2 linked regions of the Saccharomyces cerevisiae S288C genome follow. The protein of the gene in region 2 interacts with the protein of the main gene of each other region in a biochemical or structural test. Each region holds a gene or a part of one and is shown on either strand. Other genes may lie near its edges.

Region 1 (3,596 bases), on a different chromosome or scaffold from region 2:
TACTGACAAAGGAATAGAATGATTTATTTGTCCATATTTTCAATTTGTATAGCAAGTCTAATTCATCAAAGATACCATAATACAAGTCCAAAAATTCTCTCAATGAAGCTTCATTAAACCATATTTTCTTAATTTGGTCAATTTGAAAGTTGCACTTTCTGGTTTTATTGAATTTCCCCAAGAAACTGCACACTCGGAATGGTGTGCCGCCAAACCTTAAAATATATCTAAAAGTACTTAATTGTTGACTGATAAAATCAATTTTCTTGTCAAAATTTCTCAAAAGAGACAGGAGAAGTACTTTAATTACCGTGATTGGATGCCTTAGTGCGACTTTTACAGTCAGATTTTTCAAAATCTTGGTATAGTACGTTAATACGGAAGGGTCCAAAACAGTTAAATTTCGCTTAGACTTTTCGATAAACAGTTTTAATATATCCAGAGCGTATTTGATAATTTTGGCTAATTTGTCTCTACCAGATAGAGAATCCAATATATATTTTAAGATGGTAATATTATCCACCATCTTTGTTTTTGCTTGAGAATCCTCATCATCACTTCTCGAGGATTCAGTATGCGACTCGCTTCCACTGCCTGCACTGAACTTCTCTGCACCGGCGTCTGATGAATGTGGATGGGTATTGTCATCCTGGGCGTCCTGGTAACTTGCCCCAGAATAAGGTGGTGTTTCTGAACCGGAAACGATATCTGTCGTGCCAAACTGACTCATTGTTTTACGACCAGTTTCTATAGGTGAAGACTTACAGGGAAGTTGAGGATATCGACTCTATTTGTTACTTTCTCCAGCATACAAATTACCGATGATTCTGAGAAGAAAGAAGAAAAACGTATTTCAAAAATTATATAACCTGAAATAATAAGCCCAATCCCACCGGAATTTCATATACTATCACCGACCTGGAAAAAAAATGAAGAGTAAAAAGAAAAAAATAAATTTAGCGCCGCTCGGTTTCGATCCGAGGACATCAGGGTTATGAGCCCTGCGCGCTTCCACTGCGCCACGGCGCTGCTAAATCATGTGAGTTTAGCGCGTACCGAGCAAATTCACCAAAATATTTACATCCAATTTGCTCCCCTCACTCTTCCCCGATGTCGGTTGTGATTACTGCTACGCATGGCGACTCTTAATTTCTTTCAGGTATAGTAACATTTACTCCTTTAAGTAATTGTCTATTTTTCCTCGACACTGTATGTAGTTACCTTTCAAGGAAGCTATTCCAATACCATCGTGAGAAAAACTCTATTGGATACTTCATCTAGCTCGTATATATGCTTTTTAAACTTTATACCAAACCGTGTAGGCAAAACTGGACCGCCCGGTAAGTTCTGCTATTAACAAATTAAATAAAATTGGCCAAACTGAGGATTGACAGTTCTGAATATCCAAGATTACTGACTTCAATTTTCTCACTTCTCATCATAATATTCCGCTGATTTTTACATACCGTATATCCAATTTACGGCCCTTCACATATAGCGGCGAAATGATGGTAAAGCTACGCATACTGTCTGACAGGACCCTATTCTAGCAACCTTACATGAAACAAAAACAAACAACATCACATCATACGGATGAACTACGGGTGCAATCCCTGACTCATCAATGTTTATCATAAACTTAGATATCAACACTGATAAACCCCACCTCTATTTTTACTGGTTCTTCACTTTTTCGATGCCGCACCGTCGCCCGCGATCCCCGCCCTTTGATTGCTCCTTCCATTAACAGTTTTTTTCTATCCCTTACAAGAAGCCGAGACGCCGCGAAAATATCGGCTAGTGCGAATAGTCTCTAGCTCTTGCCCTTCGCAAAGCACCGTGCTGCTAATGGCAATCAACAGCGCATCGCCGCTCGCTGAATTTTTCACTTAGCGGTAGCCGCCGAGGGGTCTAAAGAGTATATAAGCAGAGCTTGCGGCCCACTTTCTATCAAGATCTAAGACTGTTTCTCTTCTCTTGGTCTGTATATGTTTTCTCAAAGTTAGCAGAAACAACAACAACAACTATATCAATAACAATAACTACTATCAAGATGGAAACAGGACCTCATTACAACTACTACAAAAATCGCGAATTGTCCATCGTTCTGGCTCCATTCAGCGGCGGTCAGGGTAAGCTTGGTGTCGAGAAGGGCCCTAAATACATGCTTAAGCATGGTCTGCAAACAAGCATAGAGGATTTGGGCTGGTCTACGGAATTAGAGCCCTCAATGGACGAGGCCCAATTTGTGGGAAAGTTGAAAATGGAGAAGGACTCCACAACTGGGGGTTCCTCTGTTATGATAGACGGTGTCAAGGCTAAAAGAGCAGATTTGGTTGGTGAAGCCACCAAGTTGGTGTACAACTCCGTGTCGAAAGTGGTCCAGGCGAACAGATTCCCCTTGACCTTGGGTGGTGATCATTCAATAGCCATTGGTACTGTATCCGCGGTTTTGGACAAATACCCCGATGCTGGTCTTTTATGGATAGACGCCCACGCTGATATAAACACCATAGAAAGCACCCCCTCTGGAAACTTGCACGGCTGTCCCGTGTCATTCCTAATGGGTTTGAACAAGGATGTCCCACATTGTCCCGAGTCGCTCAAATGGGTTCCAGGCAACTTGAGCCCAAAAAAGATCGCGTATATTGGGTTGAGAGATGTTGATGCCGGAGAAAAGAAAATCTTGAAAGATCTGGGTATCGCCGCCTTTTCCATGTACCACGTTGACAAATACGGCATCAACGCTGTCATTGAAATGGCAATGAAAGCCGTGCACCCAGAAACAAACGGTGAAGGTCCCATTATGTGCTCCTATGACGTCGATGGTGTAGACCCATTATACATTCCTGCTACAGGTACTCCAGTGAGAGGTGGGTTGACCTTGAGAGAAGGTCTTTTCTTGGTGGAAAGATTGGCCGAATCCGGTAATTTAATTGCGCTAGACGTTGTTGAATGTAACCCTGATCTGGCTATTCATGATATCCATGTTTCAAACACCATCTCTGCAGGTTGCGCCATTGCAAGGTGTGCATTGGGTGAAACCTTATTGTAGTTTATATCATCATCCCTTTTATCAAAATAAGCATTCTCTTTTTATTTTAGTTAAGCACATGCATACATAAATTTACGAACAAAAAAAGAAAATAAATTAAAAATAAAAGTAGTGTATCTTCGTTACTTTTCATTCTTTTTGGTTAACCCACGTCTAATTGCCAATACACTATCGACGATCACGGCATCTACACCTGCTTCAATTTGTATACTGGCATTTTCGGGATCATTGTTGTCCACACCGTAAGTGACACATACCAGCCCATTAGACTTAACCACTTGCACCAACCGTGGGGCCTTTAAAATGGGTGCTGCAGCAGATACAATCCCCAATAAATTCCACTTCTTAGCAAATCTTATACCGTTTTGTAACGATGAGGCTCTCAAATCGGCCATCTGTTCACTTCCACCTTCCGTCAGGAACAAGATCGGAATAACCGGTTGCTTTAACGAAAGCATGATGCAAATATCCGGATGAAATGACGAAAAAATGATGTCCCTACCATTCGCATTGTCAAAAACTACTTTTAACACGGTGTCAA
Region 2 (3,644 bases):
ACCGCATAGAAAATGCACAAGGCTCTGGTAATAACCAAAATACGCAGGTAAAAACGACCGACAAACTGAATTTTAGGCTCGAAAAACTATGTTGGGATGAAAAAATCATTGCTATTGTAGTGGAACTGTCTAAAGATAAAGATGGATGCATAATTGATGAAAACAATGAGAAAATTAAAGGGTTGTGTTGTCAAAACAAAATTCCTCATATTACGCTGTGCAAACTTGAAAGTGGTGTTAAGGCTGTTTATTCCAATGTTCTATGTGAGAAGGTTGAATCTGCTGAAGTTGATGAAAATATAAAAGTGGTGAAATTGGACAACTCGAAGGAATTTGTTGGCAGTGTATATTTAAATTTTTAGACCGCGGTCTGGCTGTCTTAAAAACGTTAATTTCGTTTAACCAAGTGCTTTATTTGCTTGGAATGTAACATAGTTTTACTAACATTTTTTTTTTTTAATTGACATTGCAAAATAATCAATGTATATCATTATTCATGCATCTATATCTGTATTTATATATTAGTTATTAAGAACACGAAAGAAGGATTATTTCAAGTCCTTGAAATTACCTTTATTATTAACAAAGATATCAATGGCAGACATAGCTGCATATAATCTGTTTTCTGCTTCTTCAAAGACTATGGAATGCTCTCCATAAAAGACATCATCACTAACTTCTTCTTGATGTCTTGGCAGACAATGCATAAATTTGTAGTTTGGATCAGCCACAGAGACAAGTTCTTGATTGATTTGAAAACCTTTGAATTGTTTCAGCTTGGCCTGTTTCGCAAATTCTTCACCCATGGAAACGAAAGTATCGGTTACTAATATATTGGCATTGGTGGAGGCCTTTAAAGAGTCGTGTGTTAATTCAAATGTCGCACCGTTTCTCTCAGCAACTTTCTTTGCTTCATCGACAATATCGGAATCCATTTCAATACCGGGGGGAGTGGAAATACTGACACTTATACCGAATTTCAGACATGCGATGCACATATCATTTATGACATTATTGGCATCACCAATCCATGCCATCTTCAATTTTGAATTGATTCCCTTATTTACTTCATCTAGAGATATATTGAAGTTTTCGATTATTGTTAAAAGATCACAAATTGCTTGCAAAGGGTGGAATTTGTCACATAGAGAGTTGATGATCGGTACAGAGGAATCCTTGCAAAAAGCAAGTATGTCTTCATGTTTGTTCACACGGGCAAAAATACATGAAACCATAGATGATACAACCTTGGTGGTATCGTAAAATGATTCATTGACACCAAGCTGAATATCCTCTTTACCTAAAAACATCGGTTGGGCACCAAAGAAGGTGGCTGCACCTTCGGTCGAAATTCTCGTTCTAGTTGATCTTTTAGTAAATATTAAGGCTATAGTTCTACCCAATAGTTTCAGATGGTTGGATTGGAAATCATTCGTTTTATTTGCTTTAAAAACATTCTTGAAATGTTGAGCTCTTTGTACTAAGATTCTGAATTCTTCATCAGAAAGATCTTTTATAGAAATCAAATGACGTAAAGATGAAGGCGTGGATGCTGTGGTTGACATGGTAACGAGTGTACAAGTTGATGGGTAGATGGCTAAAAAAAAAAAAAAAAATTGCTCGTTATTAACTGTACTTAAAGGACATACAAGGAATAAACTGCCTTTAGAGGTGAAAAGTCGATTTATATAGGTAGATTTTTTTGGATGGACGGGAATGGGAAGCCGCGCCGAAGAAAGAAACGGTGACCAATCCGGCTCAAAAAAATTTGTCCGGGCATTTCTCAGCGGCCGATACTGCTGTGAGTTGCACTTAACGGAAAAAATGACCAGTTTTTTGTCATCTCGAAACGAAACGGAACAAGAAAGCATATGAGTCACGACGTGACCCTCGAAAATTCACTGCTATCAGAGGAAGAGCTGAATGAGTAATACGAAGGAGCGTAATGTTAGAAGGTCGAGTTCAAAATATTCTGGATCTTGAATTTTTGTTTACTGGAGTCATGGTTGCTAACGATGTCTCGGTTATCTAAAATAATATGATCTAAATATTTTTTCTTAGAAGACGTAACTGATGGCGAATCAGGGTTTAAATTTAAATTTGTATCTGTGTTGAAATCTACCGAATTGCTATCTCTGTTTTCAAATAGGGATAACCTTTGTGAAAGCTCTTTATTCCTATTCTTGCATTTATTTTTACTTTTTTTAAAAGGAATTTCTAGTGGTAAGCTATTGTCACTGTCACTATCCTCTTCATCATCATCTTCCGCATATCCTTCATCTGTTTCGTAGTCATAGTTTTCAAAGTTGTTCATAAAAATTTTATTAAAATCGTATGGTGACGCATCTAGGAAATTGGAGTTAGAACTCGAGTGTTGCAAAAGGTTTAGCTGGGTATTGACCTTAGACGCGAAATTCGACTTGACTGAACTTGAATTAAAGCTCGATACGGCATCCAAATATCTCAATTTATTCAAACTTATTAACAATCGTTGCTCTTCTTGTGAGTAATGGATTGTCTCAAAAGGAAGTAATTTGAAATTGATTTTGAGGATTTGTAAAAAAGGGTTTGTGGAAAATTCATCATAGTACCATATTGGACACCAGTGATTTAAAAAGTTTTGAAATTTTTCAAACTTTATTTTACTTGAGTGGGGCTGGTTTTGACCACTTTCGTATTTAAGTGATAATGACCAATTGTTTAAATTGTTTAAACATAAGTCAATAATGTCAATACTATTGAAGGGCGTAAAATGGTAGAGATTTAGTTGCTGTGGTTGTAACTGTTGATTATCATCATTATTAGAGTCATCTGTAAGAATTAAAAAATATAGGGACAATATCTCTAACGAGATATCCTCTTTCTTCAAATCTTGGTCCCCTTCCTTTAAAGTCATTAATTTTAAACTCAAGTAAAATAAAGTTAATTGAATCTCCACAAAATCAGGTTGATTGAGTTTGTGATTTAGACCCGTCAAATTCTTAAGTAGTAAATTTGTTGTTAGTTTTTTATTTGAACTGGATGTTAAGAATCGGAAGTTATCGTGATCACTCAAATTGTGATAAAGGTTCCACAGTAATAAATTTTTTTTAAAGCTTTCCAGTTCATTCTGGAAAAATTGGAAATTTGGGTCCGAAACATTTAAAGATGAGATATTCAACAAATTACATCCATCCAAAGAATATATGATGAAGTTTAACAAAATTTCAAAGGGCTTCAGCCTGGGGATTTCTAGAACCGAGATTGATTTCGGTTGAAATTCTTCAGTTAAAAAGTTGGACTTTGGTAAACCTTGAATTAAGGACCACCATGAGCTTAAGAATTGAAAGCACCAAAATGTCACTATTCTATCATCCTCTTCATTAGATTTATTATTATTATTGTTGCCTGATATAGGAATTAAATTTTTGGGATTTATGTACAATCCCATATTCAAAATATTTGTAAAGTTTAGGTTTAGCAAATCATTGGTCCATATTACTGAATTTACATTTGAATGTTCTGTTAACGAGCTTTTACTTTTACAAGAGTCAACAGAGGCGCCCATAAAATAAAAGATGGATAAGTTAACCAATTGCAAAACTTTCAAGTCTAATTTGCTGTTTGTTGTCAGAGAAACAATAAGCTTCGTGACTTTAAAAAGC

Evidence for each region.
Region 1: the proteins of ARG3 (region 2) and CAR1 form a complex in vitro, tested with the Saccharomyces cerevisiae proteins (one study listed by BioGRID).

The regions. Positions count from the first base shown.
Region 1 is NC_001148.4:337,891-341,486, forward strand, and holds CAR1 (arginase), read left to right. Parts: upstream 1-2,053; coding exon 2,054-3,055; downstream 3,056-3,596. Other genes in the region: PEX25 (Pex25p), read right to left, coding at 1-730; GDE1 (glycerophosphocholine phosphodiesterase), read right to left, coding at 3,178-3,596.
Region 2 is NC_001142.9:266,720-270,363, reverse strand, and holds ARG3 (ornithine carbamoyltransferase), read right to left. Parts: upstream 1,566-3,644; coding exon 549-1,565; downstream 1-548. Other genes in the region: TRL1 (tRNA ligase), read left to right, coding at 1-362; SIP4 (Sip4p), read right to left, coding at 1,949-3,644.